Linked DNA regions of Arabidopsis thaliana. The protein of the gene in region 1 interacts with the protein of each later gene in a pairwise test. Each region holds a gene or a part of one and is shown on either strand. Other genes may lie near its edges.

Region 1 (5,482 bases):
CTCATTCTAATTTTTTTGTCCGGTCTTATCATAATATAACAAATACAATTTTTTTTTTTGCGCATATGCCTTGATTTAAAATTAAAAAAAAAAACTCAAAAATAATCGAGAAATAGATTCAGATTCCATATGAGATCATATAGTTATTTTTTCTTATAAAAACATATAGTAAACTGTTGTTTTGTTTTATTTACCTACATAACATGTTTATTTTATTTTACCTGTATAACATGTCTAGGTAGATGTAACTTGAAGCTAAAACATTATTTGAAACTTAACTATCTCATTCTTGCACATAGTAAAAGTGACTAGCTTTTCCAACATATCTTGAGTTATGCAATTTCGAATCAGAATTATAGTATCATTAGAGCATCTCCAATAGTGAGAGCCCTCTATTGGGTTCTCACCATTTTTTTAAGAATAAAATTTTGAATTTGAAGAGATGAGAACTTATGTTATTTTTTTTAATTTTGTAAAGTCCAATGGTAATCTCTCTTTGTGGAGTTCTCAGGGAAAAAAATTCTATTGATTTTGAAATTGAAATGTTGAAATGTTTGATGTTGAAATTGTTGTAATAGTGTGAAAATTTCAGTTGATTTTGTTGTTAAACAACCAATTAGTGTAATAAAATCATGATATGGTCGGTCTCTAGGGAGAGATTAGTTGTCATCTTTGCATCTGATAATATCTGAGTTGAAATAATTTCCTCTGCCTCACAAAGAACTATCTCAAGATTTTAAACTTTGTTAAGATATGGCTGAAACATTGCAGAAAACAAACTGGAATATTGATACATGAATTCAAAGTCTCAAATTGAAAACCTGCAACTACTCAAAGTCTCAAATCATTGATAAGAAAAAACTGTAACTCATTAAACACTTGCAACTCATGAAACCTACAACTCAACCTCCATCTTCACTATCTTTCAGTTATTGGAAAGAAGGTAGTGCTGCTTCGTATTCTTAAACCAAACCTTGCAGAAACCTGCAATTTCTCAAACCAAAACATGCAAATTAGTTCACCAAAACCTGCAATCTATAACTCAAAAAATTAAAAGCTGCAATTTTTCAAACCAAACCTGCAACTTCTTCACACAAAGATAACCTGAAAACGAATAAGGCAAAAAACCATAAGTAGTTGAGATGAAAGTCTATGTGAAACTCTTCGACACTTCTGTAGCTGCAGTATTAAACAACAGAAGCATAGATTTTTATCACACTAATGACTAAACCATATAAAAGCAAGCTAATCACTCCTTAATCGCAGTCTATAACCAAAAAAAGCACAGCTTTATTACACAAATCCCTAATTTAGATAGAAGCTGACCTTTACATCTAGAGCATTAACATCGAGATGATCTGCGATTAAGAATCGGAACCGAGAAGATTAGTATACCAGATCCAAGAACTCGATTCACCTGAAAATTAGAGAGTTTCCAAGCAATGTAAGTCAAAACATCGACATGATTAGAAACAATGATCAAGATAGAATCAGGAGAAGCTTTCACGCTTTTTTTGCTTTTTTTGTTAAAAACAATTAACCAATGATAAGGCACCACATCATCGTCTCTCATCTCTCTCAAAAACTCTCTCAAAAGAGACAGCTCTCTCTCTCTTTTAATCCATTTTGATTTATTTTTCAACTCTTTTTTAAGAGAACCAATAATGAGAACTCCATTTTGCATCTATTGAGATACTTTTAAGTGCTCATTGTTTTACCATCCAAAATCATAATCAAGATACTGTGTAAATTTAATGAATTAGTAAAAAAAAAAACATTATTGTCTTTAAAAAGTTGCATTAAATAAGAATTATTTTTTGTTGTTTAAATAAAAAGCCTAAAGATTAAAAATATAATTAAGGTTTTAAAAAAAACAGAGACACGGAGCCTTAAAAGGGGCAGAGGAAGGTAAGTAATAATCCTTGTCAGATGCTATAATTACTTCCTCTGCCACCCACCTCTCTCTCTTCCTCTCTACTACTACACACTCATCTCTCTCTCTTTCTCTTTTTCTTTCTTCTTTGCATTGTTTTTCTCACTCACTCGCCGCTTCCTCTTCTCTTCTTCTGGTTCACTTCTCTCCTAAGTAATAACACCACTGCATGTTTCTCTCTTGAGACACTCCAAACCATTTCTCTCCGAAAATGTCTGCTCCTTCTGGCGGTGGCGAAGGAGGAGGAAAAGAATCAGCTGCTGGTGGAGTGAGTTCATCGTCTCTTGCTCCGTCGTCTCTACCACCGCCTCGTCCTAAGTCTCCACCAGAGTATCCAGATTTGTACGGGAAACGCAGAGAGGCGGCGAGAGTTCAGATGCTCGAGAGAGAGATTGGTTTTCTCGAGGCAAGTCTCTCTCTCTCAATACTTTTATTTTATTACTACTACTACTACTATTTTAAAAACAGTCCTTTTCATTCTTATTTTATTCATAAAATCTGTGCCATTTTTGATTACTCTGAGGAAGTGTCCCAATATTTTGAATTTCATCACTCCTTTGTTTTTATTATTATTACTCTCTCTTTTTCAAAAAAAATTGGTACTAGTATTAGTTTCTGATTAGTAAATTAATTAATGCTAATTAACCTCTCTTGTATAACTAAATAATCCAGTTGTAGTACTATTTGATTTTTGGTTGTTGTGAGAAAAGAGTGTTAAAACTTGGTCCCTACTATATCCAGGTTGGTTTGGACTCTGGACCGTTGTGTTATGTTTTGACAGCAATTATAGAAACCCAAGACATTTAATTTATATTTGTTCTCTTTGATGCTCCCAAAAAGAATTATTAATTTCTGTCATCAGACACATTTCTCTATTTCTATATCTAATTAAATTCAAACTAGTACTATGATATGCCAACAAGGGCTTTAACCACTTAAACTAATGCATGTTTTCTTAATTGAAAATTAATTTGAATCATTTCTCTTAGTAATTTTTTTGTTAGTTGAGGGAGTTTCAACGGATCTATTCTTTAAAAACTAAATTAATTGGGTTCCTATGCTTTTCGTTAATCAGGATTTTTTTTGGGTTATAGAATATTGTTAGTAGTTACATTCTGTTTTAAAATTAAGGATACATAAAAAAAAAAAAGTAAAAAAAATGTTAAAGGTAAAAAAAAAAAATGTGATCATGTTGTAGTGTGAAGTGACCGATGAGACGCCCATTTACTCAGTTGTTTGCATCACTGAGGCCTAATGTGTTCGTGCATGTGTACTATGAAAGTGAGTGCTTAGTCAAAGAGAGTATTAAAGGGAAAAATACATAAAGATAAAGAAGAAAAGCATTAGAAGCAAAGTAGGGAAAGATCTAAAAAATATATTGAATTTGGTTAGCTTCCATTGCTGATTTTGTTTTGTTTTGCTTTGCCATATCAATCAATTTTTGTGAAAGCTTTTGTCTTTATTGCTATCTGCGTTTGAAAGGACCAATTCTTGGTCACCTTTTTCCTCATGTTGCTTTCTCATTTCCCCCTCTATGATTACTTTTTCTATAGTGCATATAATTGGTTGTAATTAAATTATTTTTTACACTGTATATGTTTAGTTTAATATGCAATTCTTGTTTTGTCCCATTAGTGTCTACTTAATTTAGATCTTCTCTTTTTTTAACCAAGCAAATACAATTTGGTTGATTAATGAAATGATGTTTCTTAACCAATATTTCGAATGTCGTTATGATCAGGGCGAAATTAAATTCATCGAAGGCGTACAACCGGCATCTAGATGCATCAAAGAGTGAGTGTTTTAAAAACATTCTATCAGTTTTTATCAGTTTGGTTTATTGATAAAAGAAATATTTTGTTGTGGCAGAGTCTCTGATTTTGTTGTTGCAAATTCTGACCCATTGATCCCTGCGTAAGCGTATTTCTAGTTCACTCAATGACTTCACACTTTTCTCGTACTTTGCCCGCTCTTACAATTCCGTTGTGCTGTTTTTGTCTTCTCATATAAATAGACAACGAAAAAGTCGAAGATCCTTCCGGTTCTGGAAGTGGCTCTGGTAAGCATTTAAATTGGAACATTATATTTTGAAAATATTTTATTTTCGCAATTTTATATAAAATTTGCATAAGACCTCAACTAGTAAGAAATGTTTTTAGCCAATGCTTTTAATCTTAGATTTTGCTAGAATTACTGATATGTGTAGCTATCTGAATAAAGTGATACTAATTAATTAACTCAATGCAGTGGCCCATGTTTGAGCCTGGTGAGTTTCTGCTGTTGCTGCCAATCCAAATGTTCGTGCCATCTGAGGAAACCCAAGTGCTGCAACTGTACATCTTGCAGCTGTATAGGGTCCAAATGCTGTGACGGGTCATGCTGCTCAAACATTTGTTGTTGCCCGAGACTAAGCTGCCCGAGCTGTTCATGCTTCCGAGGTTGCTGGTGTTCTTGTCCGGACATGTCTTGCTGCATTCCCAGCTGTTTCCGCAGTTGCAGTTGCACTCGACCGTCGTGTCTGAATAAAAAGAAGAGCTCATGCTGCAGCTGCAACTGCAAGATCAGATGGTCATCTTGTTTTAGTTGTCCCAAGGTACGACTTTGTTCTTGTTGTTTTTGCAATTGTAAAAATCTATGTTCTAATCCTTGTTGTTTAGCTTTCTAATTAAACTTTATTATTATTATAATCATTATAGCTGTTTCCTCTATTTTTTGTTCAAATTTTTTCTTAATCTCTTAAAGGAAGCAACACTTTCTTGATTTTGTAATAAAATTGTGAATATTTTTGTCTTTTTGTAAGTGATGAATGATGATTACTATCAACTATCAAGCGAGTCTGTCATGGGATATGTTTTTTTTTTTTGGGTTTTAGCCGTGGGATACTAATGTAAAGTATGTACACAAACTATGTGTAAAAAACGAAGAAAAAAGATACAAAGCAATCACACAACTCTGATGTTCGACCGGCTCAATAATAGGGAAAAAAAATTAGTGGCCTATCTTAGTATACGAGTTATATATGGACCATAATCACGTGTAAATTTCTCATTTTAATTGTTTAAAACACACCAATTTTTTTATTTGTTAATTTGCAGCGGATCATGTGTAAAACCACACTTTGCACATTGACTAGTAATTACGGCTTTAGTTCGAACAATAGCTACCCGGTGAAAGAAATTTTAGCAGATGTGAAATGTGGTGAAATATGGATAGAAATATAAATATATAGAAATATAGAATAGTTGTTATTATGTCAAGAATTTACAATCCATTTCGCAGTTAAAAATTCAAAAAAAAAATCATATACAGGTAAATAAAACGAGACATGTTCCTAGTGTCAGCATACAGCTCAATTTTCAAACTTTTCGTAATTTTGTTTCTTTACGAAACTCCATTTTCTTCAATAGCTAAGGTAAAATGGATAAAGGCAAGAAATGACTACAATTTGGTAATTAATTATGGATCAACCTGTAATTACTTGCATTTAAAGTTAGATAGGTTAAGCAATAAAATCGATTTCCTCACTGGGTTATAGTAGTAGTCTGAAAT
Region 2 (6,478 bases), on another chromosome or scaffold:
ACACAGTGTTTGTTTCATAAAAACCATCAGACATAGTTCAAAGAAACCACTAGGCTAAGAGAATCTACCCAGTTCAAGAATCGTTTGCTCATGAACAGATAAACCTGAAAGAAGAAACCTCGAGAGAAAATCTTACCATGAACTCTGAGCTGAAATGGGAGACGAAAACAGTGAAGAAACGTGGAGGGAGCTGGAAATCATTGCTAGCCATTGAAGAGGCCATCTTGGATCTGTGTGTGAAGAGAGTGAGTGAGAGAGAACGAGTGAAAGAGAAAGAGAAAGAGAAAGAGAGAGAGAAGAGTAAAGAGAAAAAGTAAAGCTAAAATGTTGTATGAAGAGAGAGTACCTTACCTTGACGCTTGAGTCAAATCAACGTTTAAGTTTTTGCAGAGAAAGGAGGTACAATCCTCAGACCCTCGTATTCTGCGTGGCCATTTCAAATTATTTTCTTTTAAACGGTTTGATCTCCCAAACTGAACCGATAATTTATTGCTACTCCGGTCCAGTTCAACCTCAATAACCGTATAAGTAAATGTCTGTTAAACCGGGAAAATTCACTTTATTATTTCTCTATTTTTTTTCCCCTGAAAAATCAATCACATGAATGTATCTTCACACTACTACATATACAACAAACATACACACAGAGAGAGAAACAAACTTATGTAATTTCCACAAAGAAAGAAAGAATTTTAGGAAAAAATATCAAGAGGACGAGCTGGCCTCTATGCTAGTAGTAGACATCTCTTGGAACATGGAAGTTTCTTCAACATGCCACTTGAGAATCTCTCTCGCATACCTCAGTGCATTGTCCACAGTATCACTCTCCAAGCTCACTTGACAAACAAACAATTTTGGCTTAAAGCTCCTTCCACGCATATTTACGGGTTCCAAGATTGAGTCATAGAGTCTCTTGAACTTATATCCAATGTAATGGAAAGCACGCTGAGCCATTGGAGGGTTGTGTCTGCTCGTCTGGTTCTGGCTGATCAATGGGTTGAAGTCTTCAAACCACTCACAGGTTCTTAGAGGAACCTCTTCGATCTTTTCTTCTAGGAGATCAAATTTGGTTAGAACCAAAAGAAACCTTTTGTTAGCTAGGCTCGGGTGAGTCACCATGTTCTCGAAAAGCTGTTTGGTTGCAAGCATCTTGTTCACAATATTCCCCTCACCGTCTTCTATGTTTTCTGCATAGTCTGTTAGTGAGACACAAAATATCACCAAGTCAGCGTCTTCAAACATTTCCAGCAATTTCCAGTTTTCACCAAGGCTTCTCGGATTTAGCCGGATGAGTTGGTACCTAAAGAGAGAGAGAGAGAGAGAGAGAGAGAGAGAGAGAGAGAGAGGGTAAGTTCAACGGTTTTTCATATAGCCGGAATGCAACACAAGGAAAAAGAACAGAACTAACTTCATGTCTGTATCATGTTGATAATCGCTCTCAAGAGACTCTTCTTGAGAAGTTGATGGGAATGAGAAGTCCACACAAGAAAGTCCTTCCATAGAGGAGAGTCCTTCCGCTTGCAATATGTCCATATCAGAAGGATCGTATTCTGATCTCGAGATCTCAAGAATCTGAGAAGAAACAAATTTGGGTCAGTCATCTTTTTCCCCTTAAACAAAAGTGTTAAGGTCCTGAAAGAGCGTTTATATATGCAAGCAGGCAACTTGATGTAAACTTACTCTTTCAAGAAAATAAACGGCGTTCCTGGGAAGTGTATCGCGAAGTCTTTTGTAGGTGGCTTGAATAGCTGGTACTCTCCAGAGATCTGCAACGGTTTGAGCATTCTCACGGCTTGATGGTGGAAATATCTTCAGGTTTCCGTCTTCCTTTTCTTTCAAAACCCAATCTGAAAAATGTTTTAGTCTCGGGTTGATCGAGTTACCTGGTTTTGCACTGGTTTCATCTCCCACATTGCCTAAATCCCAAGAACTCGATCAGTCTTCCTCAATAATCAATTGTTAACTGATGTTTGTATTAGAATATGAATGCATTCTTATTCTAATAGTTTGTACAGTCAATAATAATTACCTGAAGACTGGTCATTGCTCATCTCTTTTTCAAATCTTTCATGTGCCTCAAGAACCATTGCCAGATAGGTATAGAGATTTGTTTGGATTATGAATTTGATTCTTTCACGGTCTTCTAAAGAGAATGAGACGTTGTAGAGAGACCTTGCCTGAAACAGAAGAAGTCAATTCCCGATTCTTTACTAGATGTGAAACATTCAAGTGGGAGGCATTAAGATGAATAGCTCACTTGTTTGTAAATTGTAGTGGCGCCACCTTTTTCGCTACCAATCAAAAGAAGCTTGTTAAGCATCTTCTGCTCATATAAGGGCACATCATATGGTTCTACTGCAGACGAAGCCGGAGGAACTGGCAGAGAGAACACAGCGCAAGCAATTTTTGCTCTCTTCTGTAAAAATAATATCCTTCGTTGTCTTTAGTTTTATATTTAATGTTGTGAACGAGAAAAGCTGGTGATCAGGAAACCATACCTTACTCCAGATGTTCCCGATGGGATGCTTTTGACCTTCTTCTCGGTAAGAACCATCTGAATCGACCCAAAAATGAGGTTTTCCTTCACATTGCACCCCCGCCCACTACATCAAAGCAAAGAAGCGCTCAGTTCAGAACAATGACACATACACTAAGCATATTTGTTATCCAAAACAAAGGTGAAAAGCAAAAGAACCTTGAGCATCGTGAGCTCTGGCTTGGTTATTTCCCGGCCATTAATATAAATTTCAGTGTCTCCATTGCTTACTTTCTCACTGATGTATCCTCCTATGCTGTTGTTAGGACTTATAATCTGACTAGGTTTCTCTCCTATCTGATTAAATAAACACATAGAGGCTCTGATTTAGCTGAGCACTCAAAATACAATCCCGATAATAGATACGCAGACATATATAAGAAACTGTACCTTTCCCCAGTAGCCAGCAACCTTATCATACCAATAGTGTCCGGGTTTTAGCTTCTTGGGTGGATTTGGACATGTCTGCAACGTGTAAAGCTCATCTTCACTTAAAGGCTTGTCATTGACAATGATAAGTCGTGAAGGCAATTGATTCGCCTTGCAGGTGATCTCGGCATTCATGACTTGTCGAAGTTCAGAATCCGTGAGATGGCGCTTGAGCATTCTTGAACACTTTCCGAGACTTGCTCTCTTGGACTCATCAATCCTATAACCAATGCAAGCTTGACACTTTCTTCCTTCGGGCATCGCACCCATGGCTCTGCGCACACAGTTGAAACAGTATTTGGCATCGCAGACAATACAGACTTCCTTCTCAGTAAACCGGTTCCCCAACTGGCACCGGTAACACGATCCTCTTTTACCTTTCCTTTCAGCTCTATGCGTTGCAGCTATACTTTCTCCATCAGAAACATAGGAGCTCTCATCACATTCACTACTCTGAAAAGGTTCAACGAATCTCACTGCTCTAGGTCCCACATCCGAAACTCTGTCATCATCTAAGTGATCCTCCTCTCTCGCTGATGCAGACAATGGTGATGATGGTGATAACCGAAAATCAGCAGGACTTTTCACTTCTTCTGGTACATCCAACCTCTTTGATGATGATGATGATGATGAGCCAGAAACAACATCACGCCCTATCAAAACCACACTAGAACCAGCTGCAGAGTCAACGAAACCGTTCTTCTTCTCTATTCCAGAATCAGGTGGTCTCTTGGTATCCTTAGTCATAACGAGAGGTGCCACTGGGTAAGAGATACCACTCCGCAAGGAAGAAAAGGAAACGGGAAGAGCCGTAGGAATCTGATCAACTTCAACGGGAAGAGCTCGTGGCACATTAGCAATAAGAGGACCTTTATACTCACTGGCGAATGAATATTCGATTCGATAGCCACTACTTGTTTCATCATCATCGTCACTTTCTCGATTATCCCTTTTAGGATTCGGTGATGGGAAAGGTAATAACTTTCTTATAACTGCAGCCATCTTCTTACCCAATCAAGCACACATACAAACCCAAAAAAGCCCTAATTCCTAAAATTCCCTAATTTAGAAACTTAACAACTTATCCGAGAAAACGAGAATTCATGAAGTGATAATATACAGATCCTAAGCCATTAGTGGCTTAAATAATCAAATCACAAAGCGCGTGAAATAAGAACGCAACTACAGAAATATAGAAAAAATTGATCACAGAAAGCTCCTTTAGCTTAAAGAAAGAGACGAAATTTAGTTTTTTTTTCCAGGAAAGTGGCGATGGAAGGAAGAAAAATCAGCAAATAAATTTTCCGGGAAAAGGGAATTTGCAGAAGAAGTAAACAAAAAGAAGAAAGACAGAAAGATGGGTTGGATCGTATACACTAGTAAAAGACGAGGACTTGACAAAAAAAGGGGAAGACTTTCTCTTTGTTTTTTATTTTCTCTGCAATCAAAAGGAAAAATGAGTTATTTTCCGGGAAAATTCTTGCCGTCAACGCGGGTTAGGGGAGTTGAAAACGATGCGTTGCGAAAGGCGTTGATGGAGTCAAAGAGAGAGGGCAATTTCGTAAATATATCTTCGGTCCTGCAATAATGTTCGCATAACCCGAATTACACGGTTAATAGAAAACCGGAGGTGTTGACCCTATTTAAGTATTTATCAAAGAGAGGCGCAGAGACATATATGATGATCCCGGTTGTGGAAATGTTTTCGGTTAAGTGATTGAATAAGACTTTTTTTTTTTTGCTCATAAAGATAGATTAGGTTTAAATGGTAACAGTAAATTCACAAAGATTAGTAATTTCTAACAACTTTGGGTGGATATTTCCAGGTTGGAAAATCAATTAAAAAATATCAACATCCTATATTATAATAATATAGAAAGACTAATTCTAATGAAGAGGAAAACGACTCATCCAAAATTCCAAGTTATAAAGTTGCAACCACGACATAGACCACTAAAGAAAACAAATATATATGTTTGATTCGGTCTTTGTTCTTGTTATCTTACAAATTTATGGAAAATAAATAAATAATTCAATTTCGTTTCAAACATTTTTTTTAAAGAAAAAAATAACCAAAAAACTCATTACGTGAAAACCATTAACCCGACTTTGATTCTCACACCAGCTAGCGTGGCACAAACCTCTCCGTTGACTTAGTCATAAAAATGAAATCAATCCTCTGTCTCTTTCCCGGCGTGAATATGGCTCTCGTGACGACGTGACACTCTCGTAAATAATCACACTATGCTCCTCCACTCTTATTTTTCCACATTGCGTGAACTCCACGCGCCACTTCCTTCATGCGGAGACGAAGAGCTCTTCCGCTCTGAAGATGCTGCTGGCTCGTCCATCTCCTTCCACGTGGCCATTCTCTCCGACACGCGCCACACTTTCACCGACTTGTCCAAACTTCCGCTGTATATAATCCACTTCCGGTCTCCCTCGGCCACTGAGGCTTTTGCTCCCTGATGACAAGCCCGTTCCTCCTCCACGGCTAGGCACTTGACCGGCCCCATGTGTCCCGTCAAAACAGAGAGACACTGATGGGACTTGTCAGACGGGTCCCGCCTCCATACGCATATGTTCTTGTCGGCGGAACCACTCAACAGCAAGTTCCCCGCTATACCTAGACAAAGCACTGCGGATTTGTGGCCTTTGAGTATTCCGCCTGTGAATGACCGCTTTGAACGCTCCCAATAGTTCACTAGCCCGTCCGAAGAACCGCAATATACGATGGAAGATTGTGATTTTACGGCCAACGCCGTGACCGCATTTTCTTGCTTGAGCAAAACTTGAGCTAACGTATGTTTTGTTCCTTTGCCTTGCAACTCACGTTTCCACACTTTAACAGTACCATCTGCGGATCCCGTGAACACCAAGTCATCAAAACCGGACATTACAGAGTTTATCGCGTCATCGTGTGCATGTATCGATTCCAAACATTTTGAATCCGCGATTCTCCACACTTTGATTGTCGTGTCCCAAGAACTCGAGTACAACAATCCAAGCTCCACGTCCAAGCTAAGACTAGACACTGCGTCGTTATGCTTCGTCTTCACAGAGTTTCTGTTGCGGCGTACCTCCATGAAATGCTTAGGGTTGACGGAGCTCTTGACCATTGATTTAAATGTTGGCAATGTTCCAACCCGCTTATGTTTTCCTGGTTTTCTCTTCGAAACCTTCCAAATCCGGATCTTCCCGTCTTGATGGCCGGTAAAGATTCGGTCTCCGAATATCACAATGGCCTTGATTAGCCCACTACTGGATTTAAACCCAGCGTGTTCCTTCAAATTCTTCCAAACCCTAATGTTCTTCGAATCCGAGCCCGTGTAGAGAAGGTCACCAGAAGCGGCTAGCGAGTATATATGCCCTTCTTTTCTAACAATAGATCCAATGAGACCGTTGGTCTCGAGGACATTGTCTTCGTTGAAATCTGCACCCCAAGGAGGCGACACGCGGGCCCAAGGCGACATTACGCAAGGAGAACCTTCTCCGCTGGCCGGACCGCTGCTC

Evidence for each region.
Region 2: the proteins of AGG3 (region 1) and XLG2 come close enough for resonance energy transfer, tested with the Arabidopsis thaliana proteins (one study listed by BioGRID).

What each region holds. Positions count from the first base shown.
Region 1 is NC_003076.8:6,978,430-6,983,911, reverse strand, and holds AGG3 (guanine nucleotide-binding protein subunit gamma), read left to right. Parts: upstream 1-1,748; 5' UTR 1,749-2,144; coding exon 2,145-2,339; intron 2,340-2,506; exon of another isoform or gene 2,507-3,632; coding exon of another isoform or gene 3,633-3,674; coding exon 3,675-3,727; intron 3,728-3,802; coding exon 3,803-3,847; intron 3,848-3,947; coding exon 3,948-3,992; intron 3,993-4,180; coding exon 4,181-4,598; 3' UTR 4,599-4,755; downstream 4,756-5,482. UniProt on the Arabidopsis thaliana protein: Guanine nucleotide-binding proteins (G proteins) are involved as a modulator or transducer in various transmembrane signaling systems.
Region 2 is NC_003075.7:16,439,068-16,445,545, reverse strand, and holds XLG2 (extra-large GTP-binding protein 2), read right to left. Parts: upstream 4,461-6,478; 5' UTR 3,968-4,460; coding exon 2,927-3,967; intron 2,834-2,926; coding exon 2,696-2,833; intron 2,604-2,695; coding exon 2,499-2,603; intron 2,417-2,498; coding exon 2,258-2,416; intron 2,178-2,257; coding exon 2,030-2,177; intron 1,917-2,029; coding exon 1,681-1,916; intron 1,573-1,680; coding exon 1,409-1,572; intron 1,301-1,408; coding exon 706-1,300; 3' UTR 540-705; downstream 1-539. Other genes in the region: AT4G34400 (AP2/B3-like transcriptional factor family protein), read right to left, coding at 137-223; AT4G34380 (Transducin/WD40 repeat-like superfamily protein), read right to left, coding at 5,224-6,478. UniProt on the Arabidopsis thaliana protein: Guanine nucleotide-binding proteins (G proteins) are involved as modulators or transducers in various transmembrane signaling systems. Binds GTP with specificity. Plays a role in the root morphogenesis by regulation of the cell proliferation.